Linked DNA regions of Rhinolophus ferrumequinum. The protein of the gene in region 3 binds, or shares a complex with, the protein of the main gene of each other region. Links are inferred from orthologs where the notes say so. Each region holds a gene or a part of one and is shown on either strand. Other genes may lie near its edges.

Evidence for each region.
Region 1: EXOSC4 (region 3) and EXOSC3 share a complex: the UniProt entries of both Homo sapiens proteins name them as parts of the RNA exosome core complex. The link is inferred for Rhinolophus ferrumequinum from reciprocal best matches to the Homo sapiens genes EXOSC4 and EXOSC3.
Region 2: EXOSC4 (region 3) and EXOSC9 share a complex: the UniProt entries of both Homo sapiens proteins name them as parts of the RNA exosome core complex. The link is inferred for Rhinolophus ferrumequinum from reciprocal best matches to the Homo sapiens genes EXOSC4 and EXOSC9.
Region 4: EXOSC4 (region 3) and EXOSC1 share a complex: the UniProt entries of both Homo sapiens proteins name them as parts of the RNA exosome core complex. The link is inferred for Rhinolophus ferrumequinum from reciprocal best matches to the Homo sapiens genes EXOSC4 and EXOSC1.

Annotation. Positions count from the first base shown.
Region 1 is NC_046295.1:53,395,037-53,402,533, reverse strand, and holds the start of EXOSC3 (exosome complex component RRP40), read left to right. Parts: upstream 1-4,217; 5' UTR 4,218-4,454; coding exon 4,455-4,778; intron 4,779-5,546; coding exon 5,547-5,696; intron 5,697-7,497. Other genes in the region: uncharacterized protein LOC117031691, read right to left, coding at 2,822-2,860. UniProt on the Homo sapiens protein: Non-catalytic component of the RNA exosome complex which has 3'->5' exoribonuclease activity and participates in a multitude of cellular RNA processing and degradation events.
Region 2 is NC_046301.1:4,659,602-4,667,553, reverse strand, and holds the start of EXOSC9 (exosome complex component RRP45), read right to left. Parts: upstream 3,292-7,952; 5' UTR 3,173-3,291; coding exon 3,107-3,172; intron 2,807-3,106; coding exon 2,712-2,806; intron 2,034-2,711; coding exon 1,914-2,033; intron 1,810-1,913; coding exon 1,707-1,809; intron 825-1,706; coding exon 687-824; intron 1-686. UniProt on the Homo sapiens protein: Non-catalytic component of the RNA exosome complex which has 3'->5' exoribonuclease activity and participates in a multitude of cellular RNA processing and degradation events.
Region 3 is NC_046297.1:72,919,312-72,927,432, reverse strand, and holds EXOSC4 (exosome complex component RRP41), read right to left. Parts: upstream 3,180-8,121; 5' UTR 2,702-3,179; coding exon 2,531-2,701; intron 1,508-2,530; coding exon 1,301-1,507; intron 1,201-1,300; coding exon 841-1,200; 3' UTR 801-840; downstream 1-800. Other genes in the region: OPLAH (5-oxoprolinase), read left to right, coding at 7,573-7,915. UniProt on the Homo sapiens protein: Non-catalytic component of the RNA exosome complex which has 3'->5' exoribonuclease activity and participates in a multitude of cellular RNA processing and degradation events.
Region 4 is NC_046299.1:26,347,401-26,354,938, forward strand, and holds the start of EXOSC1 (exosome complex component CSL4), read left to right. Parts: upstream 1-4,174; 5' UTR 4,175-4,229; coding exon 4,230-4,260; intron 4,261-4,367; coding exon 4,368-4,483; intron 4,484-6,403; coding exon 6,404-6,478; intron 6,479-7,473; coding exon 7,474-7,538. Other genes in the region: palmitoyltransferase ZDHHC16, read right to left, coding at 1-27, 178-420. UniProt on the Homo sapiens protein: Non-catalytic component of the RNA exosome complex which has 3'->5' exoribonuclease activity and participates in a multitude of cellular RNA processing and degradation events.

The DNA.
Region 1 (7,497 bases), on a different chromosome or scaffold from region 3:
TATTTATATTTTTATATATATATGTATATATATAAACACACACACACATACTGGTGTATATATAAGTGTGTGTATACACACACACATTAGAGTCCCTTGAATTTCCATATGAGTTTTAGGATCAGTTTGTCAATTTCTGCAATGAGGACAGTAGGGATTTTGATAGGAATTATTATCTTAACAATATTAAATTTTCTGATCCATGAACACGAGGTACCTTTCCAATTATTTAGATCTTTAACTTCTTTTAACAACATTTATAGTTTCTAGAGTTTAAGTTTGGCATTTCTTCTGTTAAATTTATTCCCAAATGTTTTATTCTTTTTGATACTACTGTAAATGGAATGGTTATCTTAATTTCATTTTTCGGTTGTTCAAGTGTACAGAAATGCAATTGATTTTTGTATATTATTCTTAAATTTAGCAACCATGCTGAACTCATTTTATTAGTTCTAATGTTTTTTTAAATGAATTCCTCAGGGTTTTCTATATATCAGATTGTATCACCTACGTATAGAGAATTTTACTTCTTCCATTGCAATCTGGATACCTTTTCTTTCTTTTTCTTGCCGAATTGCCTGGGATAGAATCTCCAGTACAATGTTGAATGGAAGCGCAGGGAGCAGATTTCCTTGTCTTTTTCCTATCTTTGGGGAAAAGCTTTCAGTCTTTTGCCATGAAGTATGATGTTAGCTGTAGGTTTTTTGCAGATGCCCTTTTTTTAAGTTCCTTTCTAATCCTAGTTTATTAAGTGTTTTTAATCATGACAGGGTACTGGACTTTTTCAAAAGCTTTTTCCTGCATTTGTTGAGATGATAATGTGGTTTTTGTCCTTTATTCTATTGATATGGTATATTACATTAATTGATTTCAGATGTTAAAAGAACTTGCAATCCTGGGATCATTTGGTCTTGGTGTATAATCCTTTATATACGTTGCTGAATTCAGTTTGCTAGTATTTTATGGAGGATTTCTGTATCTATATTCATAAGGGATGTTGATCTGTAGTTTTCTTTTCCTGTGGTATCTTTGGTTTGATATCGGTAATTCTGGCTTCATAGCATGAATTGGAATATGTTCCCTATTCTAATTTTTTTTGTTGTTTTTTTGAAAGAGTTTATGAAGAATGGGCATTAATTCTTCAAATGTTTGGTAGAATTTGTCTGTGAAGCCATCCAGAGCTGGTGAGAATCTATCTTATTGCTGTTACTGACCAGTTTGTTGATCTTACAACCTCATGAGACCTTGGGCCAGTTATCAATATATTGCCGCTCAGCTCTACACTCACCCTTCACTGCCTGCTCTGAGAAAATGGATCTGGGCCTTTAAAATATTTTTCCTTTGCTATCTATCATGAAGATAAGCTTTATAGGTAGAAGGCCCAGCAGAGGCATTGCAGGAAGAATAGGTTTTGCTTCCTGGCTGCAGTGTGCTCTCTGGTATACTTCCACTGAAGCTGCAGGGCAGCTTCTCCAGTATCTGCTCCTGTTTTGCTTGGTGGCCTGAAGAACCCAGCAGCCAGCCATTTTACCTTAAAAGTTTTGTAACAGGTTTTTAGGAGACCCCTCCACAGGAACAGCTTTCCCCAGCATCCTCGAAATGCCAGCAAGTTCTGGAGGGTGGATTTCTAGCAAGTTCCACTGGCACAGGTTACCAGTGACTTCTTGCCACTTAATGAGCCATAGCCATGCCCTCTCCAACAAGGTCTCAGTCAGTCATTCCAAGGGGGAGGGGCTCTTCTTGGGTGCTCTATCTCAGTACTCGGGGTAATACATGGTTCTTATATCTACTCTTACACTCTTTAAAGCTCTCTTTAGTTCTTCATAGACAGAATTCTTTGTGATTAAAAGCATCTGTAGCAAGTAGATGCTCATTTGTGCAGTAGTAATTCTGAGCATTTATGTTTACATCCTTTACTTGAATAAAGATATTAACATTACTTCCATGGAGTCTTTTGCTATTAATTTAATCAGCATGCAGTTAATTTGTAGTTTTTAGAAACCAGTAAACTTAAAAATGTTAAAGGTTCACTCAAATAGTACCTCTTTCGGCACACCTATCCTGACCCCTACCTTCCTCCCACACAGAGGTACTGTAACTATTTTATCCTTTGTAATTTTAGGGCTGACACTAATCAGGCTGCTACAGCCACTGTAACGCTTGGTATTTTCCTGTGAAGACAGTGAACCCCCTCAGGGCAAGAACCATCATCCAGCAAAGGCTCAACTAGTGTTGCAGACTGAAAAGAAAAAAATCGCCTAGCCTCACTAATCAACAAAGAAAAGCAACCGTGAGATTCCACTTTTCCAACTCCTTAAAGTAGAAAGATTACTAACGACGAAGTTCTGAGGAAAGAGTCTAGAAGACCGTGTTCCGGTCCAACCTTTTTCTGAAGGGCAATCTGGTAGTTTCCCGAAGAAAATACTCAGAAATGAGGAGGTATACTCCAGAGGGAGTCGAGAATGGCGCCCCTATTGCATTGACTCCCAGGCAACAAGCCCCCACACAGGGCAGATCCACCAGAAAGCCCCCATGCGCGGGCTGAGAGCGGGGCGTGGTCTCGACTCCGGAAGTGTGCCTGCGACTGCATTCCTCAATTGCTGCGGCCACTTGCACACCACGAAAAGGTAACACACACAGTTCGGAAACGCAAACTTCATAACTGCAACCCCCCGGGACCCTGGGACCAGACCGCGGGTGGCCGAAGCCCACTGGTCTCCACGCCCTCCCTCCGATCTTGGCTTCCCACCCACCCGCACGCGGGTGGACCTCGCATCCCCAGAAACCTGCACATCAACCCCGGTGGTGCTCTCTCACTTACCAGAGGCCGCAAGACGCCCAGGCTGCGAAGCACAGGCATGGCGGCACGCGACGCAGAGACCAGGCTGCCTTCCCCGTGCGTTCAGCCCTCTGTCCCGCCCCTCCGGGTGTGTCGGGAAAGGTTTGGCCCACGTGGTCCTGATGACCTGCCCCTCGGGACCGGAACTTCCGGTCTTCAGGGAAAGGACTTACTATTGGCCTCTGGTTTCATCTGTTGACTTGCGGGAGAGCTGGATGGATGCCTGTGTGCCACCCCTACAGGGAAGTGGACTTGATGGAGCTCCTTCGACAGGTGGGGGCAGTTTTTTCCAGAGTCTCCTCTACTGATGTGGGGTGCTTGACGGACAATCCTGGGATTACTTCCCCATCTCCCTGTCTGCCTGGCCCTGATCCTAAGTTATTGAGCACCTTTCGGGCACCGTCTCGGGCCAGCCACACTCGAAGCAGTTTTGGTCACCGATACCTACCGGTTCCAGGCCCTCTGGAGCTGGGTTGGAGTGGGAAGGTGAGAAAGAATTTGCACCACCTCTTCTGCCAGGGTAAGTGACCAAGAACAGTTCTTAAAATCTGCAAAACAACACAAGTTACATTTCAGTTGATTTCTTATTGAGTTGGCTCACCAATATCTTGCCAGATTTTGGGGGCATGTTATAGATGGTCTGTCTTAAAAATCCTAAAAATCTAAAAATTTGCGTTGGAAGCAGATGCCTCAAAAAGATGAGCAGAGGCAAGCGACTCCCTAAGAGTTTTCACCCCTGCTGGGAATCTGATGAAGCTCTAATTGGAGGTGCCATTTGGCAGAGGAAATGGTGATTTCAAGTTAAGAGCTCTAAAAGTCGGAAGAGCAGACCTGAAGTGCTATGGATTTGGAATTCAGCTATTTCTACATGGGCAACTAAAGTGTGCTCCCGGGAAAAGAGAAGCAAGGACTCAACTGCAGTTACTGATTTTCCCAGGCCATGTAAGGGTAGCTAAATTATGTGGAAACGTACATGTGATATGTTTATATTTACAGAAAAAAAAGTCTAGGGAGAAATACATACCAAAATGTTAACATCCACTCATTCATCAGGTATTACCTATTTTGAGCCACACCCTTGGCTACAAAGAATGAGAAGTAGATGACAGTCTAGCAAGGGAGACAAATGGGTGCAAGCCTAGTATGTTTTATTTTTCTTATTTTCTTTTTATTCTTCTCTGTTTTCCGTAGTGTGAATAGATATCTTCTCTAGCAACAACAGAAAAGGTTTTACTTTGTAAAAGAAAGATACTTTTTCCTTCTGAGAGCGGAGTCGGAAGGTAGGGCCAACTCCGGAAGCCACTCTACGCGGTGCCCAAAGTTCGCTCGGAACCCTAAGTGGGAGCGTGTTGTATCCCAGCGTGCGACCCGGAAGTAGAGGCTCTGCGCTCAACTCGAGCTGCGTGTTTCTTGTGCTGACCTGCAGGCTGCAGGGTAGGCAGCCGGCTAGAGACACGACAGCTACCTTGGAGGGACCCGCCGGCCTACAGGGATCAGGCTTCACAGACGTAGATTCAAGTCCAACAGACCGCTACTACCGAAAACGGAAAGCCTTGGGCGGGCTGCGATTGGACGCGGTGCTAGAAGGGGAAGCCGGAAACTGGTGGCGCCCGGGATGGCTGAGGCGGCGGCTGTCGCGGGCGAGTCCCTTGGGGGTGGCAGAGCGCGGGCGGCGCGCACTGTCCTAGGTCAGGTGGTGCTCCCGGGTGAGGAGCTTCTGCTGCCGGAGCAGGAGGATGCAGATGGTCCGGGAGGTGCAGGGGAGCAACCGCTGCGCCTAAATGCCGGGGCGCGCTCCCGGGTGCGCGTTGTGTGCGGTCCGGGCTTGCGACGCTGTGGCGACCGCCTGCTGGTCACCAAGTGTGGCCGCCTCCGACATAAGGAGCCCAGCAGCGGTAGCGGCGGCGGCGTTTACTGGGTAGACTCGCAGCAGAAACGGGTGAGTTGGGACTCCGGAGCAGTGGTACGGCCATGAGAGTGGTATCCTCACTCTGGGAAGACTTCTGGGAAGAGCCAGGGAAGGAGCGCTGGAGCCCTCCTGTATTAAGGCTAGCCTAGGGCCAAGCGTGTCTGGGTCCATCTCTGCATCTCCTATAGAGAGACTGAACAACTGGTACGTGGCTCTAGAAGGGCGACCGGGAGGGAAAGGAATCTGGAAATGTTGGCATACAAGGGATAAGGACTGTGAGATATGGTCATAGTCTTCAAAATCCCAAAAGTCAGGGAGAACCGAGCTTATCACGAGGGTGTCCCAAAATGTAGAACTATCAATGAGGGTATCACAGGGAGTTGTTTCTCTTAGAATAAGTAAGAATTTCATATAGGAAAATTTGTCTAACGATGAAATGGTCTTTCTTGGTTGTGAAGACCCCCTTTGCCACTGGACTTATGTGCAGACAGAAGCTAGGGACTTCGTGATAAGGATACTGAAGATGTATGGGATACCTGCTCAAGTGAACAGACTATTAGAAGCTGTAAACTTGAGAGTTACATGATGTGATTGTTTTTCTTTTACTGAAAGTGGCATATGATCAAGTTTGTTGTAAGATTTGTATTAATTTGTAAACCAGGATTTCAAAATATTTTCTAAATATCCCTAGTGACGAACATAATAAAGTAACCACTAAGGATCTGCTGAAGATATCTTCAAAGATATCTTGAAAATGATTGTTATTTATGGTTGTACTCATTCTGATTTCTTTCGTAGTATGTTCCAGTGAAAGGAGACCATGTGATTGGCATAGTGACAGCTAAATCTGGAGATACATTCAAAGTTGATGTTGGAGGGAGTGAGCCAGCTTCTTTGTCTTACTTGGCATTTGAAGGTGCAACTAAAAGAAACAGACCAAATGTGCAGGTAAAGATGGCAACCTTTGGTTTCAAAAGAAGAAAAGCACATATCCACATATCCAGAAGCCTATCTGAATTGTCTCCAAAGCATGACCTTTTCCCCCAGTATAGGATGATCTTCGAGCATCTGTGATCACTCCATGCTCCAAGAGTTCCTTTTGATGCTCCAGCTCTGGGACCAGAGCCACATACTTATATTACATTTGCTACATTGGGGGTTGTTTCATCTCAACTGTGTTGAAAGGTTATATCTGTTCTCTCTGTTACCTGTTATGTCCATATCTACTGGACATAGAAGTAAGCAAGCCATGGGCTTAGGAAGGAAGGAGGGATAAATGGTGCAAATTGCCTTATCCACCATCCATCCATCCTGATTGTATGTCCTGGGACTGTCATCTCACAACTTCAGTCACATCACTGTTTCCCAAGAATCTTCCTGGAGTTGACAGAGGAGTAGTCATGTTTCCTCAAGTTTTCTATTTGGGCTTTTCAGGTAGCATAGTCACATTTCCTGTACAACCAAACCAGAATTTTGGTTTCTTTGTCCCTTCTCACCTTACATATGTCTTTTGTTGGTTAATCCTATTGATCCTATTTGATTCTATCTCAAAGTCCACCCCTGCATCTCCATTTTGCAAGTTCAGGCCTTAGGTACCTCTTGATTAGAGTTGGTCAGTTACTTTCTCATTAACATCCCTGCCTGTACTCTTTGCCCTTCCATCCAGGATTTTGAGAGGTGAGCACTGAGAGCCTCACACACTCTGTAGGCTTTCTTCAAAGCATACAGATTTCCTTGGCATTATACTCTTAAGTCTTCCCTCATCCATAATTATATCTTCATACAGCTATGCTTGAACCACATCAAACTATGTAACAGCACTACTGAACTCATAATTTCCTGCCCATGTACATTTACTCAGGCTGTTCTCTGTCTGGATTGTTTAGTCCCCTTTTCAGCCTGTGGAACACAAACTCATCTTTTAAGACCCAGGAAAACACCAACACTTCTGTAAAACCATCTGTAATCTTCAGTCACTTTTTCTTATAACTTTGCTCTAGCACTTACTGCATTCAGCCTTTGATGAAGTTTGTTGTTTATATGTGCATCTCCACTGCCCTCCAAAACCAAATGCTTCTGAAAGGCAGAGAATGTTTTGTTCCTTCTAGTTCCTATAGTCACCAACAAATAGTAGGTACTAACAGAACAAGTTCATTCTCAATTTCCTTAGTTCATCATTTTGAAGTTCAAGTCTGAGGTTTTCACGTAAATCTTGCATGGAGAAGTGTCATTGTATTACCATTTTCCATTTTGCTTTGAATAATACCCGTGCCCGTAACTTTTCTGTCAATCTTCTGTAATTCCCGAGAACAGTGCTAATAGAACTTTCTGTGATGATGCTGTTTTACATCCACACTGATTAGTATGGGTGCCCCTGGCCATAGGAGTCTGTTGAGCCCTTGAAATATGGCTAATGCAAGTAAGGAAATGAATTTTTAGTGTCTGATTTGAATTAACTTAAAAGTAAGTGTAAATAACTACATGTGGGTAACAGCTACCAGATTGGACAGTGTAACCCTAGAGTGTGTTTCCTGGCTTTGAGATGGCTCCCAGTCTGGGGATTTCTGGTGGGTGAAGCAGGAGGGTACATGTGTTAATGTTGCCTTCTTTTAAGACCCAACTCCAGAGTGACTCTGGGAATTCTGGAGTGTAGTCAGTCCCTTAGCCACAGAACTGTAGGTGATTGGCATTGCTGCCTGTGGGAAAGAACCAATAGTAGCACCTATAAAATGGTTTGCTGAGAGGAAAT
Region 2 (7,952 bases), on a different chromosome or scaffold from region 3:
TTTGTCCCTACCGAAGTATTTAAAGAGTCTGTTCCAGTTTGATGCCTAAAAGCAGCATCATGAATGACTGCTTAGAGAATTCGGGCCTCCGATGTTTCCTTTTGTAACTTCAGGACTCAATCTACCACCACAGTACACTTTCATTATTCTAGCATGTCATTTACTTAAATTGAAATGGACATACTCAACATAAAGACAATGTAAACTACATAGGTCAACAGTTTTCGAAATGTGGTCCTCGCACCAGCAGCATCCATATCACCTGGGAGCTGATAGAAGTACAAACTGATAGGTCCTACTAACCTTCCTACTGAGGGTGAAGCCTAGCAATGTTTTAACAAACTGGCCAGGTATTTCTGATGAACTTCGCCACAGAGTAAGCACGACCATCTCACTGTGCTGAGAAGAGTGTATTTTTCACATGTGGCCCCTAAACACTCCATCTAATGCTTGGTCCAAAGAAGAAATCATCTCGTTCTATTCTAGAAAACCAGGCTAGAGTGTGCTTTTTGACAGACATTTCAATACAGGAGATCTAAGAGTTTCAAGGGTAGTTTTTCTTTACGAACAAATTTTAGAACATACCTTGTTTCCATCTACAAGCCTTTACTACTAACAGGTTGCCTGCACGTGAAGGATATTCATTCATTCACAGAAAGAGGCCTAGCTCACATCGGGGAGCTTACCAGTGTCACTTCATCTCCTTGGACGGACACATCAGGCCTTCGGAAGTGACACAAGGCTACAATGGCAGCAATGCTGGCAGCATCAATAATATTTCCATCATGATTTAATAAATGCAGGTCCACTCGTATTTGCCAAACCTGAATGTGAATTTAAAACAAAAATAAATCCTAACTGATCACAACCAGTGGCCTTTTAAAAGGAAAAGTAACACTGTATGCAAATTTTTCTTCTGCTGTTAAAACGTGATTATTCCTCCTATTGTATCAATAAAACTGTATTTAGAAAAATGTTAAGCCAGACCAATATCTGAAATACCACCAGTTCACCTTTATATGAATCATTTCACAACAGCAAAATATAAGCCCTAAATATATAGAGCCATTCTACATTTAACACTAAGATTTCCCTATCTCCAAAACTAATTATATTTTTATTGTCTCCTAACTTAAAAACCTCAAACCCTTAGGTTTTACTTGACAAATGATAATCTTACAAGTAATGCAAATAGGAAGTGTCATATTCAAGTATGGAATGTGGAAAGGCTAAGTGACTTCTGGAGTCACAAAAGATGGTCGAAATACCCTAATCAAGGAAAAAGTACTAATGTCATCATGCAGAATAATTTATTGAGAGTAAGATTTCCAATGTCAGCCTACCACGGACTCACTGTGTAGCCTTGTATAAGTCAATAAACCTATCCAAATGAAGGATTTAATCTGTTCCTCAGTTTTTCATTCATTAAAAAAAGGAAACCATCTGCTTATCAAGTCAAACAACATAAGAAAATAAATAAAGACATATGAAAAACCGCAAGTTCTTTGAGTAAGACATTTTTTCACAAATCCAAGTTGCTACTTTTATCAATGTTTTTTGTTCCTTCACAGAGAAATGACACAAAGTTCTATGGCTGGCTCTCAGGAACATTTGAAGTGAAGTAAACCTGAGTTAAAGAAGCTCTAAGAATTAACGTAATCAACAATACTCATGCTAAGATTAAGAATTTTGAGCAGATTTCCCACCTTTTCACCAGCAACAACACAGAGAGATTCAGTGTCTATACACTTCGAATTTCTTAGACATCTTTCCAAGAGACGATTCAACTTCACCAAGAGATCTGACTGCCTATGAAAATAGGAATGGGCTAATGTCAACCAAGCGTTAAAACAATACCTCACTGCTATTAGATTCTCCTCTGGTTAAAGCAGCTTAGAAGAAAATTAAAATACCTGCCGGGTTCAAAAGCTGGGGCAGCCATCTGAGAGAGTTCAAGGTTAAAAAAAAGAATACCTTCTGTTGCCCTGTTGAGTTTTGGAGAAACAAGTTCACAGGAAACCTGTCCAAGAACTCTGCAAAGATAAAGTACAAATCTGTTAACTAAATATATTGCCTTTCCAATTAACAAAAAAACTAAAACAGATACCAATTAAGTTTCAATCATATTCTGAGTAATAACATACTCATCATGATATATCAGAGGTTGATATTACATATGTAGTGGCAGAATATATACAGGAATAAGATACATAGTGGCATACCCAAAGAGATGACAGGAAAAAACATCTCATTGCAATACTGACTATTCCACAGATCGTTTTAAAAAAAACAAATCCCCTTAACTTCTCTTTTCTAAAATAAATATTTACTGATACAAGATGGCACGAAAACTTGAGATTTCTTAAGAGTTTTCCTATGGCATGCATGGTTGGCCAATATTATCTGACCAACGTCCTCACAACCGCCAAATGAATATTAAAAATCTAATTCTCATGTCACGCAGGAAAAAGGAAAGTAGGACCTACTTACTGACAACTGAAGGAAACAAATTCATGTGACAGAATGTACATTTACGATTTAAAATTTAAAACGTGACTATAAAGCACCTTGCATTAAAGAAAATACACTTATTTTTGCAGCTAAACAAAATAACGTGCAGGATTGTTAGCTGCTCTGTAAACAACTAAGTCAGTTAGGTTCTTTTAAACTTTTCCCCGTTGAGCTTATGTTTAATTTGAAGCCAAAGTTACCTTGTTTTCCCAAGTTCCACAATACAGCACCCATAATCGGTTCCAAATGAGATTCTGATGTTCCTATAGTCGTAGGTTTGTCTGCCATCCAGGCGCTGGAAACACAATATACACCAGCTTATTCACCTCAACAGATACTGGGCAGCTACTCTGAGCCCGGGCCCTGGGCGAAGCCCTCGGAGGGAAGCGGGATCCTCCGCCTCCGCCCCAGGAAAGTAGAAACTAGGTGCCCGGGCAAAGAACCCCCTGTAGCCAAATAAAGCCTGGTGGACGAGGGACGCACCGGCCGTCCCCCAGGGGCTCCGGGGGCCTGCGGGGACCAGGTCTGTGTCCCAGCCGGAAGACTGCCGCGGGCCGGGAGACCCGAGCAGCCGAAGCTCCCCGGGACCGTTTACCTTCTTCTCCTCGATGGCGCGGAGGAGGAAGCGGCGCTCGCAGTTTGAAAGTGGTGTCTCTTTCATGATGTCGGGTCCCGGGACCCAGGGGCACCGGAATCCGTACGGAGACGGGGACCCGAGCTTCTCCACGCGCACCCTGCTCGCCGGGAGGCGCAGGACCTCTACGTCATCAGGGCTCGGCGGCCCGAGGTGCGAACGCGAAGGCTGGCGGCCGCTAGTGCGCACGCGCCCAGCGAGGATGGCGCGGGCCGAGCGGGCCGCCGAGAGCCCGGCCGCCGAGGGGGGCGCACTTCTGAGCGGAAAGGTCTGAGTCTTGTCTCCTCAAGCGTAGGGGACAGAAGGACCCGGAAGTAAGCGTCAGGGATGGAAATGAATTGCAGTGTGGCGCTCTCACGGCACCCTTTCCTCAGTTGTAGCGGGGTGGGCCGCACAGGTGTTCCTGCTGTTTTACTGGTGAGGAAGGCGACGTTTGTTCACCAGGACGCTGCAGAGGCAGAGTGTCCGGCAGATTCAGGGGAGAAACACTGAATGTAGGGGCGCAGGAGGAGAGGAGGGGGAAGAAAGTTGAGCCACGAGCTGCAGTGAAACCTCGGAGACCTGAGAAGGTGACAGAAACTGAGGCTGTCCCACTTCGTAACCAGTGGTGTTATAACTACCATTGGCTGGAACAAAATGTGCTGTTGATTTCTTACAGTCGCCCCAGTTATTTTAAACCGATTGACTTATTTTTATGGGTATAGAGGAAACAGCGTGTCCCTGCTGCCAAACCACTAAGCTTTCTTTGGAGAGGCAGCATCAAGGAGTATTAAATGCAGGAAACCCAACTACTTGGGTTCAAATAATGACTCGGCCGTTTTCTACTTCTGTGACCCTAGTCCAGTTAGCCTATGTGCTTCATTGTACTTATCTGCAAAACTGGAGTGACAGACGTCTGTACATGCTTAGAACAGTGCCCAGTCTGGTGTAAGCGCTATTACTGACATGTTTGCATAGCATTATTTTGTTTCTATTTGCTTCAGAGGCGGTAGGCACTGGAAATCCTATGGCAGGCTCTATTCCTTTCTTTTGTCTCTTACAGGTTTTTTTTTTTTTCTATCAGTGATGCATTTTAGTCTCACTTTGTAACACTTGCAATTCATGTACCTAGTTATCTGTGAGGCCCTCCTGTGTTCCAAGAATAATTCAAGTGCTGGATAAGCCGGGTGGACAGATACTGTCCCTCAAGGAATTTATATTCTCTTTGGAGGAGACAAGCAAGAAAAATAAGTTCACGGACTAAGTGCTATCCGAGAATGGGGATGCTACTTTAATAGGGGTATTTGCAGGAAGAGGTCACTTTGGAGAGGTGACCTTTGAGTTAAGTAAATCCTTAGTGATGAGAAGGAACAGCCATGATACCATCTGGAGGAAAGGAAAAGTGTTTCAAGCAAAGGAAGCAACATTAGCCAAGACTGAGATAGGATGAGCTGACATTGTCTGGAGACAGGAATTGTGAAGTAGGAGGAAAGTGCACAGAAATTATGTCCACGAGCTCAGATCGTGGACTGGTTTTCAAAATAAGGAAGAATACAGGGTACAGGCCCTTTAAGTTCTTTAACAATGTAAGTTTGTATTTATAGTACAGTTTCACTATAATTCCTGGTTAAGTTCATCATTTAAATCCTTGGATTCTTCTATGGACATTTAGTAATTTCTCTTTCCCTTCAGAAATGAAATAGGCCTTTATTGAAACCGTCTATCCTGGGAGGCAGTTTGGCTGTGGAAGAATAGACTTTTGGTTTCAGATATACTTCAGCTCAAATGGACTTTGGGTGAGTTAAATAATCCTGCTGAGTGAGGGCTTCTTTAGGTTAGAAATAATAATTGCTTTGTGTTAAGTGGTGGGGATGAAAGCACCTAACACAGTGTTCTGGACACGGTAGCTCTTCAGATGTCCGTGTCCTTCCTGTACCCCCTACCTGCCTCTCCACATCATGTGGCAGTAGTTTGTCCTGTGATCTCACTTCTGTGATGGATCTAGGAAAAGGTGTAGAGTTTTCATTTGCTCAGTTTTTGTCATGTTGTGTGGAGTGACCACTTCCAAGCTTACTACTGTTGGACCAGAAACTGGAAGTCGCATGAAGTGAAAACCTATAGCCGTTTCCTTTTAGCAAACATGCATATAACACTTACTATGTGCCAGGCCCTAATTTAAGCACTTACAAATATTAATCCTAATAATTACCCTGTAAGGTAGGTAAAAGTATTATTTTGGGGGGGGGGGAACCCAAGGCACAGAGAGTCACACAGCCCAGGGTCACACAGCTAGTGAATCCTAGGAGCAGGATTCATACCCAAGCGGTCTGTCTCAAGAGACTGTATTCGTAACCGCTGCGCTGTACTGCGTCTCGTAAATGGGAACCCATTTCTGTGCCAAGCGGGTGATCTTCGCCTTAGCCCTGAACGAGTTCTTTTGCTGTCTCTGTGAGGATCTTGACTTCCTCTCTTGAGTACTTTACAGTTGACATTATGTAGAGAAGAAAGCTGCTGTTCTTAGATTATCTGAACTCAGTTTCTTGTGCTTAGGCTTGGCACGCAATTAGAAGTACAGTGATGAAGTAGGGCTCATAAATGCAGAGACGTGAGCAGGTCCAACTGTAACTCCACAGCTTGCACACGAGAGAGAATGCGACTGGCACTGAACTGCTAACAATGAGCCATAGGAGAAGCTGGACGTGCAAAAGTGGTGTTGGCTCTTCATGGAGAGACTTACAGAATATGTCATTTGTACAACCTTAGCCACTCTTTCAGCCCCAAAGCCCAGGGATGTTGCACCTATATCATTGATTGACTCTTTACTCAAGTTAATGATTTAAGAGGGGAAGTTTCTACCTTATTTCTTGTTTTCCTCTTTCTTAAGTTGCCTAGGAAGGGAGGCTTAGTTTGTTGCAGAAGCAGCTACTTCAGGAGAAGTGGGAGAACCCCAGACGATGCTGACTCTATGTGAGGTAACAGTGGACAGCCAGGCCAGAAGGTGGTAGGTGTCACATCTCTTTAGCGAGCAATGCAGCATTATTTTGAGAGAGAACTTCAGTGGTGGGCAGCTTCTGAGATGACCCCCATGATGCCCACCTCCTGGTATTCAGGGCCTGTGTAATCCTCCCCCTTTCAGTGACCTGCCTCTAACCAATAGATATCTCAACGTGGAGGGGATGACACGTCTGTGATTAGATTGCAGAGAATGTAACTTCTATCTTGCTAGAAGATTCTGTCCCTTGTTGGGTTTGTGAAGCAAGTTTCTATGTGAGGGGGTGTCCTCCATCCAACAGCCATGGAGGTGTTGAGCCCCACAATCCGCAGCCCACATGAAACTGAGTACAGCCCACCATCACGTAGGTGAGTTGCAGACAGGTCCATTCAAGTTGTGCTTTCAGTTGAGACCCAGCCCTGGCTGATGTCTTGATTGCGTCCCTAAGAGAGGCCATTAAGCAGACCTCACTTGGCTCTGCCTAGTTTCCTGACTCATAGAAACTTGGTGATGAATGTGTGTTGTTTAAGCTGCTAAGAATCAGTAGGCAGATAAAGCAATTTCGAGAACCAACTCTCCTGAGGTAAGTACTACTTCTTTCTTTCATGTTTCACTGGCCTGTTTCCATCTTGTTGATAGTGCAAAGGAATCTCCATTTGACATTCTTTGCAACTTCTGAGCTCATCAAAAGGCTGCTGAAACATTTTGCGAAGGAATTTGTGGTACATAAAATGCTAGATCTGTGTCACTGAAGTGTGCTTTCTTTAGTGACCAGGACATTTTTTAATGATCTAACGGGTTGCCTGAAAGGAAAGCCTGGTTTGTATCTCAAGAATCTTGCTCTACTTAAGTACTAATGGACTAGAACTGTAATCTCTACCACTGGTAATAAAAATTGCAGGGGGAAATAATGACTTCTAGGACGCAAATGGAAAAGCCTTGGCCAACTTTGCTTTTGCTTTAAAAAGTAAATAAATAAACTGAGCCTGAAAATGTAGTTTGTTGAAAGTCATTGACAAAAATCCATCCAGTAATGGACTTTTTAATCTGATCCAATAATGTTATCTGAAAAGGCAGAATGCGTATTAGAATCTCAGTTATGAGTACTTATCTGTAAAATACCAGTATCTGCTTATAAACAGGGGCTGGGAGGGAAGATTGAAATTATAGAGATTATATATTATGTTTGATGGTGGTATTTTTCTTTACTTTTCATTTGATATCACTGGTAAAAATTGGATTGTGTAAGAAGTAAAACTCTGTAAGAATCTAGTCATTTATACAAGTATTTCCTGTGGTCCTACTATGTGCCAGGCTCTATTCTAAGCACTGGGACAATGCAATACACACAATAGTCACAGTCCCTTAGAGCTTATGTTATAGAGACAGGTGGACAGTCCAATCATCTGCAGACAAGCACATGAATAATGGCTGACAGTGATAAGTGATATAAAGAAAAGTAAAGCCAGGCCAGGGGAAGAGGAGGGTCAGGAGAGCATAATCAGGAAGGAGCGTCTCCGATGAGGAGGCGTTTGAGGGAGCCTGAAAATGTGGGCATGAAGGAGTATGTAAGTGGAGTGTGGCATTCAAGATGATCAAATAGGATGTGAGCAAGGTTGCTGGAGACAAATAAGGTGACTTCTTTGAGGTTCTTTAGCAAGTACTTAGCACACGTGGACGTGGTTTCATGAGCAGGAGTTTAATAGATAAGGAGCTCAGGCTCCAGAGCCAATGGCCTGGATGAACTTCCAGCTGCAGCTTATGAGCTGGGTGACCTTGGGCAAGGTGTAAACCTTTCTGGAAAAAAAATGCAGCTAATAATACCCTCATAAAGTG
Region 3 (8,121 bases):
AGAGGGCTTCTGTGAGCCGACCAAGGCGTTGGCATCCTATGGACGCCTGTCACCACAAATGGCCGTGGGTGCCTCAGTGGAATCACAGCGTGAGCCTAGCCCCCAGCTTATGGAGTCAGATGACCAAGGGAGGACGGCGAAGATGGTAGGTACTACCAGCCAAATCAGGGTTCGCAGTGGCTGCGGAGCACTCCTGTCCAGGTCAGGAGGTGACTGGCATTGTGGGGGAGAGGCAGTCTCTGGATGTGGACTACAGGGGCTGATGGTCTGAGAGCAGGAGGTGGAGGAAAGGGGGCGTCTGCTAAAGAGTCAGGTGCAGTGATGGGGAGGAGGGTGTCTGTGTCTCACTGGGGACCGGTCAGAGCCGAGAGAATACTCCAGGTGAGAACATGTGTCTGTTGAATTTTTGGAGCCCAAGGTAATTGCAGCATAGGCCCAAAGAGTTCCATTTGGTCCAAGCCATAGTCCACAGGATGTGGGACATGGCCCCCCACATCTCCAGGGTGGGCACCCAGCCGGCTGAGCTCCCCCGCAGCCCTGTGCTCAGGGCCCCAGTCTACTACTGGCCTAGCTCACCAAGCCAGGCCCCACCTGACTGCTCAGCTGCCTTGAACCATTCTGGGCATAAGCTGCTCTCTCCACCCACACACTCGCCCCCACCCCCAACCCCCGCCCCTTCTTCTCCAGGCTTTGAATCCTGAGGCTGCAAGAGGCATGTAGTTCATGTGCAGGGTGGGTCCCTGGTCACCCCCAGGAGCCAGGCTCTGAGAGCACGAAGTGCCGTGGGGCGTTCGAAGCGCTGTGGACTGTGGGTTTTATTCTGGGCATGGGGGCCGATGCTCAGTCCCCCAGCAAGACAGAGGCCTCGCGCACATGTTGCCGGACCACACGGTCCAGCAGGGCATGCACATCGCGGGCAGCCCGCGCCGCGGCCTCCAGCACCTGCTCCAGATGGTCCTCATGCAGCCTGGCATCCATCTCCAGCAGTGCGATCTGGCCTGAGGCAGGCAGCAGGGCCAGGGCCAGCTGGGGGCCACCAGCAGCTTCCTCCACGTGGCTGAGGTCTGCCAGAGGTGTGCCGTCCACAAAACCGGCTGAGCAGGCGCACACAAAGTCCCGCATAGGCACCCCAGCGTCCAGCACTGCCAGTGTGGCTGCGTTCACACAAGCTGCATAGGTCCCACCATCTGCCTGGAGCACCTGCAGGGACCCCCCCCCCAGTGGCATCAGTGCACTGGGCTGCCGACCCTCACACCCTTCCGGTCCCTGGGGGGAGGGCTGCTGCCTGCTCACCACTCACCTGCACATAGATGTCAATCTGGGAGCGAGGATGCAGCTGTGTCAGGATGGCCGCCTCGAAGGTCTGACGCAGTTGCAGGCCCATCTCACAAGACTTCCGATCCCCATGTGGCCGCCGCTTGCGCTCACCTGTGCTGAAGGTTGCAGAACTGTACTGACAGTTCACCAGGGCCCTGTCTGGCAGGGCTCGTGCCCGGGAGCCCCGGATCTGGGGGGAGAAAAGACACATGAGCCAGGCCCATTCCTCCCAGCTGACATTAGCCCTTCTGGCTCAGGCCTAGAACTTCAGCCTCCCTCCTCCCTCCCCACTACCTATAACATCTCAACCAGTGCAACTGAACAGTCTAAGCCACCATCACTGCTGGATCTCCTCTGTCTTACAGGCCTGTTTCCATCCCTGCCTCATCCCCTCCCAACCCAGTTTCCATTTGTAGCCAGAGCCAGTATGTTTACAAATATCAAGTCTGCTTCTGTCTCCTCTGCACAACCACATAACCTGCTCACCTTCCAAAGGCTCCCCATCACATGTGAGATAAAACCCTGCGTCCTACCCCTGGTCTACAAAGCCATCGCTAGAAAGCTCTCGATCTCATTTGGAATTATTCCCCATCTGCCCCAGCAGCAGCCTTTCTGCTCCGCAAACGTGCCACGCTTGTTTCCACCCCCTCTGGCCTTCCCCCTCCTAACTAGTCTCCCCCAGGAAAGCTGGGCTCCTAAACTCATGCGCTAAGCAAACTTTTTTTTCAGTGCCTGTGCTAGCAGGCACCGTTACGGCGCTGGAGACATGGCACTAAAACAGGCGGCTTTAAAGTCCCTCTCCTCCTGGAGCTTATGTTCCAGTGGGGAGACCAACGAGAAAGAGAAGTTAAATTGGTGTCTGAGGTGACAGATGCTGAAAAGCAGGGAAGCGTGTGGTTGTAGGGGACGGGACTTGAATAAGGTGGTCTGGGGAGGTATCATCCAGGCCGTGAAGTCGGAGTAGAGAGGTGAGGAAACGAGGGGGAGCGTGCCTGGCGCCTTGCAGAAGAGCATGGAGGAGGGGAGGGCGCAGGAGACAGTGGCCGGTGGAAAGGGCAGGGACCACCGTGCACCGCGGCGTAAGGACTTCCACTTTTAGTCCGATTGAGCCTCGGCCCGGAAGATGTGCTGCGTAAACGGAGACGCGCCGGCCGCCGCCTCCCGAGCCTGCGCCCACCCGCCCGCGGTGCCCGGCTCGCGCACGCCCACTCGCCTCGTGCGGCCCGTAGACCACCGCTAGCGCCTTGGTGTTGCCCTGCTCGATGTAGGCCGAGCCGTCGGCCTGCGCGAACACGCCCATGCGCGCCTGGATCTTGCGCAGCTCCCCGGCACGCCGCCCGTCTACCCGGTAGCCCTGGTCCGACAGGAGCTCCAGCCCCGCCATGTTGCTCTGCCGCCAGACGCCTCTGCGCGAACTACGGTTCCCGGAGGCCCGGATCCCCACTTCCGGTCTCCCGGAAGTCTAGCGTTTCCGGCGGGCCGGCTCCCCGCTTCCGGACTCAAAGTTACGGTCCCGGGTGGCGTCATTGTCCTCGTTGCCGCCTTCGGGGGACTTGGGCGGTGCTGGCCCAGGAGGAGAAGGCTGTGCCCGGGGCCGTTTGGGGAGCTTTTCTGCGGCCGCCAGGGCTGGAGACCCGCGGGAGGCAGGATCCCCCGACCGCGTCCCTATGTCACGGGGCTGTTCTCACGGCGCCCTGGTCGTCACGCCGCGCCTGTGCCCCGCGCCGGGCTCGGCGTTGCTTCTCTTTGAAGCCTGGAGTCTCCTGGGAGGTTCGCGGGCGGGACCAGCGAGGGCTGGAAGCAATCCTGGCTTCGTCCTTACGGGCTTCCAGTTGCTCCGCAGTCGTAAATACCCATTCTCCCAAGTTGGGACACTTTCCTTCCTGTTTAGTGTTTCCTTTTGTCCATTTAAAAATAGACATAATTTTATATTATGCATACACATGGGCACAGTTCTTTTCAGAGCAGTTTTTTTTTTTTTTTAAACGGGACTTTATTGGGGAACAGTGTGCACTTCCAGGACTTTTTTCCAAGTCAAGTTGTCCATTCAGTCTTAGTTTGTGGAGGGGGCAGCTCAGCTCCAGGTCCAGTTGCCAGTTGTTAGTTGCAGGGGGTCACAGCCCACCATCCCTTGCAGGAGTGGAGAAGTTGAACCTGCATGCCAGCCTTGTAGTTGAGAGACTACTGGCCCATGTGGGAATCGAACTGGCAGCCTTCGGAGTTAGGAGCACGGAGCTCCAACCGCCTGAGCCACCGGGCCGGCCCCTCAGAGCAGTTTTAATGTTGTTTTCCACATTGGCTTGGTTTTTCTGTCTGCACACCCCCTCCCCCCATTGACTTTAACCTAATAAATGGTCATTTGCATGTTTTTCTCCGTACATACAAATTATACACAAATACAGGAAGTTGTATGGGTATAGCCATAGTGGCTTTTGGAATTCTGGTTGTTTTTTAAAATGGGGTCATTTCATACACATTCTGTTTTTCACCCCAAAAATACCTTATGAAATCCATCTAAATTGTCCTGTGGAACTCATTAATATTTTGTTGGCTGCGTGAAACCTGTGGGGTAGTTGTGCCAGGATGTATGCCCCGCCACTGCCCTTCGTGGGGCATGGCTGTGTGTCCTCAAGTCCAGAATCCGCCCCTTCAAAGGCAGTTACTATCGCTAACCTCTTCTGTGCAGCTGTCACGCTAACTTGTTTCTCTGCAGGTCTGGTAACTTTTTGTTGAAAGCGAAACACTTTAGATAATCTATGCAGTGGCCCTGGACCATGAGTAGCCAGTCGCTCCATGGGCTATGTTGCTGTTTGAGTAGTTTATTCGTTTAGTGGCTTGTCTGGGCCAGTGCTGTGAAGTCAGTTTCCTGCCAGTGTGCAGCTGCTGATGTCACCTCCCAGCCCACCCCCTTCCCCCCCACCCCAGTGCTTATATTTAAGGGTAGCTCCCCAACATCTGGGTTAGCATGGCTTAGGGTTCAGCCCCCTGTTGGGCAAAGACTGCTTGAGCTCCCCACCAGTGAGGCACTGTCCTCTGCTGCTGGAGAAAGATTGCCCCCTGTACAGCCAGTGTAATGGGCGGCAGAATCCCCGCCAAAGACGTCCAGGTCCTGATGTCTGATAGCTGTGAATGTTACTTGTATGGTAAAAGGAACTTGGCAGATGATTACGTTAAGGATCTGGGAGCTTGTCCTGGATTTTCCAGGTGGGCCCCAAATGTAATCACAAATATCCTTTTAAAGTAGAAGCAGAGGGAGATTTGGATACGGAAGACAGAAGGTGAGGTGACCACAGTGACAGAGATTGGAGTGATGTAGCCCAAGCCAAGGACAAGGGAAGGAAAGAATTCTCTGGAGCCTCCAGAAGGAATCATTCCTGCTGACACCTTGATTTTAGTGCGTAACACTCAGCTTGGAGTTCTGGCCTCCAGAACTGAAAGAGAAGAAAGGTCTGTTGTTTTAAGGCTTCCAAGTTTGTGGTAATTTGTTAGAGCGTTCTCGTAACTGCTCGCCACTAAGGTAGCCATTGTCTTCCACAAAACCACACAGCCTCCAGAGAAAGCCAGCCTGCTCAGCCTTGCTGTGGAGCTGCTAGCCTCCCAGCCCGCCGCTCACCCTGGGCGGGAGCGGGTGGACGCCTGCTTCACCCAGAGCAGTGCCCCATATCTATGGGGGGGATGGGAGGCGTTGTCCTTCCCAGTGGAACCTCCACCCTGCAACTGGAGCCCCGAGTTCTGGCCTCTGCCCCCTTGGAGGAGAGCCTTCAGAGTGGGGAGCTGGGGTTGGGCAGCAGCAGTTTCGGGCTCAAATGCCACTGATTCCTGCTGCTCTTACCAAGACTTAGTCGACCTCCTGGAACAAATGCTGTTTGCCCTTTGGTCAATATCCAGAGTGAGAGGGTCACTCAGCCTGCCTGGACATCCTACCCCTGCCAGCCCTTTCACGGTCAAGGCTTGGCACCAGCTCGCTGTCACTTCCATCACATTTCTCTGGTCAAAAATAAGGCACATGGCCAGTTCATTCCACGGGATGAGAAATGGACTGCCCCTTGAGGGGAGGGCAGCACGTGCATCTTTGGGTTGCAGGAATTGGCTGCCCGGTGGGCACACCTTGCACGATCCCAGGACTGTGACTAGAATGGATTTTACGCCCAACATTAGGTTATGTTATATGGCGAGCTGAGGTATCCTGGCTGAGCCTCACTTCACCAGGTGGGCCCCTCGAAGGGGTGAGGCCACTGCCAGGCTCCTCCGGCAAGGTGGAATGGGTTGCTTCTGCCAGGAAGGAGGGCGCATAGCAGTTGGGAGAGTAGCTACTCAAAGTCCCATCCCAGGTCTCACAGTGCTGACTTCCATGGAAGAGTACACATCGTTTCTGCCTCTTTTATCATCAAGTCCCAAGCTTCCTTCAACTGGGAGGCTGTGCTAGTTTTCTGTTGGGTAACAACTGATCGCGAAGCAGTGGCTTAAAAGTGCATCCGTTAACTCACAGCTCTGTAGGTCAGACGTCTGTGAGTACAGTGTCTGCACTGAGTGCTTGGATTTGAATGACTGTCTGATCCGACTTCCTTTCAGCATGAACAAATTTCTTTAGTATTTCTTGTAAGGTAGGTCTGCTAGTACCAAATCCTATTTTTGTTCATCTCAGACTGTCTTTATTTCACCTTAATTTCCAAATGATCGTTCTCCAGTACACTGGGTAGGATTCTTGCTTGAGCTTTTTAACGACTCCGAGGATGTCATCCCATTGTCTCTGGCCCCCACTGTTTCTGATGGGGAATTAGGTGTTGGTCTTCTATGTGATGAATCATTTTTATGTTGTGACTTTTGAGATTTTCTCTGTCTCTCAATATTTTGACTGTGATATTTCAGCTCCTAGAGGCTGTCCACATTCCTTGCCACATGGAGAATCTCCCTGGCATGGAATCTCTCTTACACATTGCCTCTCTTTCACCAGGAAGAGGCCTGTCCTTCGAGGGGCTCACCTGATGAGGTCAGACTCAGCCAGGATACCTCAGTTCGCCACATAACACAACTTAATGTTGTTCGTAAAATCCACGCCAGTCACAGTCCTGGGATCATGCAGGGCGTGTCCACTGGGCAGGAAACCTTGCGCTCTCATAGAATTCTGCCCCCACAGCTCACCTTCCAGCTTCCAGGGTGTCTGAGTTGAAGTTGACTGGTCCGAGCCTGTCATTTTTTGGGGGGTAATATCACTAGTTCTGTCAGAAATACTGTACTCCATAATCCTTAGACTTAGGGTTATTTCCGAATTATAGGAACCATTAAAATGGTCATTATTTCTACTGAGATTAAGTGCAGCTGCCACCATGTGTCCTGGAACACTGCTCTCAGAGGTGTCACCCCACAGCCGGCCCCAGTGAGAACTCCCCACTGGAAGTCACCATGCCACACTGCAGCAGCTGGGAAAGGGCCACGCAAGTTCCAGGAAAACCTACCGGTTAATGAGTAGAAACTGCACTGAGCAAACCAGTTAATAGGAAACGATGATGTGAAATAAGCGATAAACGTAACATGAGGAAAACACTCAAAATGACGGCAACAGAACTGTCCCGTTAGAAGACACACTCCATGAAGGAAGTCCTTCATATGTTGGAAAATGGAAACCCAATTGTCAGCCTTGGGGGTGGCTGCCCGCCCCAGGAATCTGCTGTCCTCAGACCTGTCATGGGGCCTGCCTGCTGCCTGCCCCTGAATGGAGGGCCACGTCCAGGGCACCACCCTCCATGTGACAATGCCACTCCCTGTACCCCTGCAACAGGCCCATCTCTTGGCCTGCAGCCCCAGCCTGGCATGCTCGCTGGCTCACCGCTGCTCTTGAGCTCTGACTAGCTGAGTTACCACTGTCCAGCTCCTGCTGCTGCTGGGCCAGTGGCCCCTCCCTCAGGGCAGCTCAAACACCCTCCCTCCTGACCCTTCAGACGCTGTGCTGGCCATAACCACCTCGGGGACCGTGCCCAGTCACCCAGCCCCACAACCTGGCATAGGCAGGTGGGGACGGGCAGATGGGCAAGTGGGGATGCCTGAATCTCGACTCCCTTCCCTGCAACACACCCGTACTGGGCAGAGATGAAGGAGTTTCTGTCTTCCAGGAGGGGTCTTCCTAGAGGGACTCCAAGGCCAGCGCCTATCTGGGCTGCGCTAGTCATTTGGCCCTGGGGGAGGCTAGACATCAGCAGTCCGCACGCCCTGCTACTGGTGGTCAGAGCCACTGGGCCGTGGCTCTGAAGCCCCGGAATGTGGCCGAGGTGCGGGGGCAGGGGTGGCACTGACCTCACAATGCTACGCTCCGCTGTCCCTGGCCAGCCCGCCAGCTGCTGGCCGCTGCTACCCCCACGGCCAGGCATGTCCCTCCTCAGCAGCTATGAGGGCCTGCGGCAGGAGATCCAGCGGCTGGCGCAGGAGAACGAGGAGCTGCGCCAGCTCGTGCAGCTGCTCCAGGAGAACCAGGAGCTGAAGCAGGTGCTCAGAAACCGCAGCGGCAGCCTGGGCTTCTGCGGCTCTGGGCTCCTGGCTGAGGTGACCTCCAGCCCGCGGCTGCCCCGGCACAGAACCATCAAGTTCAAGGGTGCTGAAAGACGTGAGCTGCGGGGGGGGGGGGGATTGGGGGGGGTCGGGGGGGGGGGGCTCTTCCCGGGGACCCAGGAAGCTTCCCGCATTCAGCTTGTGCCCAGAGATTGAAAAGGGGCTACGACATGCTACAGAGGGACATGGAGCAAAGCAAGGGACAAGGGTAGAGGTGGGGCTCTTTTAATAGGGTGCAGCAGATGGTGACAGACGATGACA
Region 4 (7,538 bases), on a different chromosome or scaffold from region 3:
CAGCACGATCACCAGCACCACGAACACCTGCCAATACCAGGGAGGGGGGAGATGCAGGGAGAGCCTGCCAACACCCAGAGCAACTCAGGATGTCCCTGCAGTGGGGGCTGCTGCGGGTCCCTCAGACACAGGTCCCTCTGCCGCCCCCAAACAGGCCTCTTCCGGAGCGTCACTCACCACTCCACACCAGCGGATCACGTTGTCCACCAGCCAGTAGATGGGCTCAAAGGCAGCATCGACAGCGGTGTCGCTGCCCCCGAAGGAGTTGTAGAGCAGGGAGCGCAGGCAGACCTTGCCATAGCGCCAGCGCCGCACCAGGTCCCGGAGCAGAGGGGGACAGCGGCGCCGGGAGCCCAGTAGCAGAAGCAGGCGCAGGCAGAGGCGGGCGGGGCCCAGCAGCAGGCTCCGCTGGCCCTGCATGGCTCCTAGGAGAGCACACCATTGTGGGTGGCCAGCCTGGGTGCCGTCCCTCCCTATTCCACCGATGGGGAGAGCCTGAGCACCAGCTTAGAGGCAAAGACCTCAGACTGAGGCCTGGCTGGGCCAGTCACCAGCTGTGGGAAGTAGGACAGTCACTTCACCTCTCTACGGAATGTATGGTGCCAGTGTCCCAACCAGATGACAGGGAGTAGGGTGTGCAGGTTCTGAGCAGGCAGAAATCATACTTACATTACACCGTGTGGTTGCACAGCAAATCCCAGACAGTGCACACCTAGAGTAAAGGGCCACAATAAACAGGCGAAGGACAGGTAGGCAGCTCCAAGCCAAAGCAGGGTCTCTGGAGTTGTCTGTGTAGACGGCCCACTGGGTGGAGTACAGCCAATGTACACAACACTGCCCCCTGTGTCTCTGTGGGTATGGCCAGTGCAGCAGGGGTTTCCCAGGGCCCTCACCTGTCCCGGCCCTTCGACCTACTTCCTAACAATTGCTCTTCGTTCAGGAACAGCGTGGGGGAAAGGGGGCGCTACACAGCGTGTGGACCCTGCACTTCACTCTTCCCTGGTACTGAGTCTTGGCAAAATATACTCATCCTTCCTACTCTCTCTGGGCTGACATTACAGACCCAACCTGGTAGTATGTCCTGTCAGGACAGCTCAACTACGCCTCGCACGACGTAAGATGCTTTGTCTCAATTCCATTCCTAGCCCTACCCCAAGGCTACAGAAGCCAAGACAACTTTGGGTATTCATAGCAGAATAACACCACTGACAGGAAAATACTGGTGGTAGGGGAAGTGGCGGGGGGAGGAGGACTCCATGCTGGTGGCTCATGAAAACCACAAGGCCTGCCCTTGCAGTTGAGTCGCCCCCACCCTGTTCTAGCTACACTCAAGAGCCGCCTCTGCCGCTGCTGCTCTTGGCCCCAAGCTTCCCAACCAGCCTTCCCAGCTCTTTAGCCCTTTGTATGGCTCCTCTGCAAGTGCCTTCATCTCTTCCATGTGGTTTCTACCTCAGCCAACAGCCGTGGGAGGCCAGTGCCCAGGCAATGCCCACAAGAGAAGACAGATTCCTTCCATGACTGTCTCCTCATTCTGCAGATTAAAGTCCTTACTAGAAAAGAACTCATCTGATTTTCCCCTACGAAGAGTACTGTCCTCAGCAACTCCACTGACTTATTTAACAGGCAGCTCAAAACCCAGCAGAAACTGGAGGAGGCGGCTGCACTGTAGGATGGTTTCAGTGCAGTAACTGGAGCAAAGTACTCGCCTTGCATCCTGGCTCATCACCACAAGAGGCCTTTCAAAGACAGTTAATTACCTCCTTCCACAAACCCTGTAACGACCTAAGGGAAAAAGAAATCCAGCAGACAAGGCCAGCAGAGAAAGAGAAGAAAGGCAATTCAGTAGGGACCTACTCTCTACACGAGGATAAAGAAACTGGCCATTCCCATATCACCTCCTAGGGGCTAGAGAATTAAGAAGCAATGAAGAAGATGGAAAATGAAAACTCAATCTTCCTACCTCCTTTGAGTTAGGACTCCTATTGTTTGGAACCATGATTTGGCTGAAAATATGAATTTTTGAAATAGTATATATGGCCACCATAATCAAATGTTTAAAAGTGGGACAAAATATTTTACACCACAACAAGTCCAAATGACTTAGATTGTCCCTTACTATGGCTAATGGCGAGTTTCCTATTTGCTAAATACTTTTTATAGCAATAGCTTGCAAATAAGATATATCCCTCACCTACAATAAACACGAATTATATGTCATCTCTTCTGTCTACAAAAAAAAACAAAAAAAATTTCCTCCTCAGATTCTCCACTCTTTGGATTGTTTTCAATCATCTCCAGAATCTTCACAGGAAATGCCTGCCTCAAGGACTAGACTTACCAACTCTCGCCTGCCCCATAACTTGACTTAGGGTTCACTTCTGCCCTTAAGTGGTTCTGTGACCTTGGACAAATCACCAAATCCTGCTGGAACTCAATTTCCTTGTGTTACCATTCAGTGAGCAGATAGAAGTAAACGCTAAGGTCCCTTCCAAGTCTAACCCTTTATGATTCCATATACACACTTGGTAACGTATAAATGAAATGTTCGTAAAGAGCTTAGCATGATACCCGGCTCATGGGCATGCTCAATAAATACTTGTTGAATGAATGACCTGGGATGCAGAAGTGGACAGGCTTGTCAGATGTCTACCTGTCCTATAAATAACAGCAAGGGCATTCCTGCCAATGTGATAACATTAAATAAGTGTCTGCTGCTATTAGTCTTCATTTTTAGAATCATAGCACTTAAGAGCTAGAAGGCATTTTAGAAAACAAGTCTATCCAACTAAAAATCAACCCAAACATGTAAACTTGTAGATGTAGAGCTACATATCAGATTTGAATGAATAAAGTCTCAAGCCAAGCCCCCCACTCATTTTAGTTAGTGGGGTTTGGGGAAGCCAGGGAAGAGATATGTATTGTAGTCCACGGGGTCACAACTGAACATACGGAGTTTTCATCTCAGGAAACTCAGTTAAAGCAGAACTTGACAAATTGTGAAGGGGATGGTGAGGGGTGGATGACCAGAGTGACCAGGGAAGGAAAAAGAGCAAAGCACAGCTTCACTATCACCCCAAGTACAAGCCCTGAGCACTCTGACCCCTCAGTAGTAACCACAGGCCATAGGGACATCTGCCACCAGATTAGAGGGGATTGCAGGCCATGGCGCACTCCTCTTCTCAAGGCTCTAAGTCACCATCTGTTTCCCAAGGGGAAATGGGATTGGAGGATGGCGGCTTACACAGGGAAAAACAGATTCCAAAGCCACCAGACGGCAGAGGAAACTGATGAAAGCCGTGACACCTCTCATCTGGACAAAGATGCTGCGCTCAGGACGTTTGCAATCTCCAGCAGTACTGTCAACCATCAGTAACAGCAACACTTTATTCATGTGCAGACTTCCCTTTCGGACTAACACGCTGGGATGAGAAAAAGTTAAGGAATGGCCCACACGACTCTTGAAAGGATACGACTGTAAGATCGGAAACTGCAGTTACAAAAACCGGGGCATGGTTTTATTTCTCAATGAGGGTGGTATGGTTAAAGTGTGATGGACTGGAAGTCAAAAAATGTGGGTTCCGGTTTGTGCTCTACCTTAAACTATCTTCGAGACACTGGATAATTCAAATCCTATTTCTGGATCTAAGTTTGTAAATCTGTGAAATGGGCGACGTGGGCTGGTCGGCCTTTCAACTTGGCGCGTTACGGCTGCCCGGAGGGCACGAAAAGGGCACGGACGTGCAGGGCTAGGCGAGGAGACAGCAGGAAGCCGGGCTCACGATAAGGCCCCGGAACAGGGCCCGACCCTAGAAAAAGGGACAGGACTGGGGAGCAAAGGCCGCGGCTTCGCTCTTACCTGCCGCCTGCCGACTCCCCAATCAGCCAAATCCAGCCCGCAGCCTCTGCTCACTGCCACCCCCTCCAGCTCCGCGCCCCAGGACAGCCCGGCTCAATCCAATCAACCATGGCCCGCCGCCCACAGAGCCAGCCTGCGGACCCGGACCCGCCGCCAGACCATCCTCAACCACAAGCGCAAGCGCACGCGTTCCCGGAGCTCCTCCCCCGGACTCGGCCCGGGACGATCTGGGAAATGTAGTTCACCCCTCGAGAAGGCCTTCCCGGAGATCACGTGACAAGAGCACCAATTGGTGCGTTTCTTACTGAGGAACTGGATTTGGGCCAATGAGAAGTCGGCTTCGTTTCTCTCGGGGTTTGGGGCAGCGATAGTCATGGCGCCACCCGTGAGGTACTGCATCCCCGGTAAGTGAGGGGTGCCCATTGTGAATCTTGGATAGGGACAGAGGAAGGAAGGCTGGATGGCCAACAGATTCTGGGCACACGTGGCTGATGCAGCGTTTTTTCTGCAGGCGAACGGCTCTGTAACTTGGAGGAGGCCAGCCCAGGCAGCGGCACCTACACCCGGCACGGCTACATCTTTTCGTCGCTTGCTGGCTGCATGACGAAAAGCAGCGAGAATGGCGCGGTAAAGGCGGCTTCCCACCTCCTCTGTCTCTGCTTTTCCCTTAGGTTGCCCTTGATTTCGCAGTCCTTATGCAGCGGCTCCGCGGACGCGTCTTTAGAGCTTCACCAGTAGAAGAGTTGGTCTCTAAGTTTCTTCCAGCTGTGGTCCCTGCTGCTGGACACTTAGCGCAGCCCAGTTAGTTGTGTTGGTCACTCTTGGTTGTGTTCCTGACACTCAGGAGAGGAAGTTGAGGGAAGAGCAGAGGTGGGCGCAGCCCTGCCGTGAGCTGCTGAATCCTGCCCGAATGTCACCTACCTATCTGGCTTCATCCATATTCCCACCTCACTGCAATCTAGTCTAGTCAGTCATAGAGGCTTCTTTCAGTGTCGCTAACGCACTAAGCTCTCTCCTGCCACAGAACCTTTATAGGAACGCCATCTGTCTGGAACACGCTCCTCTCTCCTCCTTAGCCTATTTAATCCCTACCTATCTTTCAGATAGCCTCTCTAAGTCTCACTTTCTCAGAGGAGCCCTCCTAGACTTCCCTGCTTAGGACACCTGTCCACTAGCTGAGGAAAGGAGTTTTGGTTTTTGTTTACTGTGTGTTTTGTTAAACACAAAGAATTGTATTCCTTTCCTTCCAAGCACTTATCTCAGCATATAATTAAACACTCAGTTCCCCATTAGACTTTTCTCCTACTAAACTCAAGATCCATGAAAGCAGGCCTTACCACCATAACTCAGAGAGTACCACAAGGTAACTGTTCAATAAACATTTGTCGAGTGCGTTAGTAAAACTATCCTTGTGCTGGAGGCTGGTCTAGGATTAACTCAAGATCAGATAAGCAGACTTCGAAGGAACAGCTTAAAGACAGGTAACATAGTAGAAAGAGGATTCAGAATTAGAACACTCTTAGGTGCTGGCTAACTAAACCTTGATTCTACTTTATGTAAGAAACAAACTCTCTGGGTTTCCGTTGTTCCTCATCTGTAAAATGAGAGGCTTTTTATTCAGTCAATTTTGGGAATGTCCTTGACCTTCCTCAGTTTGTTCATTTCATAGATACAGGTATCTGTTGAGCATGTTCATGTGCCACTCTCAGTAGTGACCTCTAAGGGGATGGTAATGAGCCAAATATACATGATCTCTGCTGTCAAGGGGCACAGGTAAATTGTAAACAAATAAGTGTTCAAATGCGATGACTGCTTTAAAAGAATACGACAGGATACCATGAGAACGTCATCATAAGCAAACCCACCCTAGTCACTGGAAGTGACATTTAACCAGAATCTAAAGAATACGTAAGAGTTGGGTGGGTGGGAGGACTTAGTACTGGCGGAAAGAACAGGTTGAACAGACATCCTGAGATGGAAAGAAACTTAGTGAGTTGATGAAACTGAAAGAAGGCCAGGAGAGCTGAAGCATAGTGAACAAGGACGAGATTAATAAAAGATGAGGTTCAGAAATACTATCTATCTTATTCCAATAGTCAATGCCGTGCTCAAAGAGAAAACTACAAGTATTCCCTTAAACTAGAAGTAAACAAGTATGGCCACTATTACATAACATTTATTTAGAAATTCTAGCCTATACAATAAAATGAGAAACAGAAAGAAGCGGTATACCTGGAGAAAAGAGTCAAATTTATCCACGATTATAGGCCATATAATTATGTACCAATAAATTCCAAGAAAATCACCAAAAACTTGTTAGAACTAATCTGAAATGGTTACATTATATCTTTTAGCGGCATTCTTCCTGTGGCCCCTTGGCCTTCCTATTTCCTAAAATGTCTAGGCTTCTGCTCTAGGCTACAAATGTATCTGTATTCCACCTGCCCTCATGACTTCAACTAAGGAATTTCTATATTATTCTCAAGCCACGAATACCTTTACCCAAGGCTTAGCCAGGATACTCACATTTTATTGTTTTCTTTGTAGCTTCCTGTCGTGTCTGTAATGAGAGAAACAGAGTCCCAGTTACTGCCAGATGTCGGGACTATTGTAACCTGTAAGGTAGGTTAGTCCTAACTTCCCTGCTTAGGGCACCTGTCCAATGCTGAAATCATGATCTGTGTAGAACTGCCCTGTTCAATATGGTAGCCACTAGCCACATATGGCCATTTAAATTTAAGTAAATTAAAATTTTAAATTTATTTATCAGTTCCACTAGCTACATTTCAAGTGCTTACTAGCCACAGGTGGTTAGTGACTGCCATATTGATCAACATAGAACATTTCTATCATCACAGAAAGTTTTACTGGACTGTGCTGGTCTAGAGATTTCTAGGATAATGATCAAGGCAGCCAAGTCAGGCTTGCGTAGTTCTTTCACAGAGCTGGTTCCCTGAGTACATATATATTTTTTACCTGTGTCTGGGAACTAGGGGTACCAAAGGGTGGTGGAGGCCTATTTTTGAACTTCTGAAGTGGGACCTTTTTCTGCAGAGAAGCAAGAGACTTGAATACTGTAGCGTTCCTATTAAATGTAAAGTCTTTTAGGATGTTTCATGGGAAGTACAAATTAATACTGTAATGATCAGTAACTATAATATATCATCCTACCCTCTACCAAGTTAAATTAACTTGGAGCTCTCAGTTTATTTCTTTATACATTGCTCCAGCAGAAAATCTATGTGTAATTCTGAAAATAACTAGAGAGGCAGTAATCCAGATGTTATTGCAGCAGCTGAAATGTACACTTAAATTCCATCCACTACACAGGCCTCTGTTAAAGGTCTAGATTTGCTATAATGCCCTGTGTCTATGCTAGACGTCTGTATTTTTCAAAATCTAAACCATATTATTTCATTTGATTCCCACAGTAACTCTTAGAGTGGCTCGTATTCCATTTTACATATATCACTTACGCAGGGATAAGTAGGAGTTAACTTGTCTTAAATTCTATGCTTAGTTGGGTTGCTTGGATGAAAATCCTGATAATTCCTAGTTTATTGCTGCCTCCTTGAGCTGACAACTACTAACACTCTAATCTTTTCTCTGCTCCACAGGTCTCTAGCATCAATTCACGCTTTGCCAAAGTACACATCCTGTACGTGGGGTCCACACCACTTAA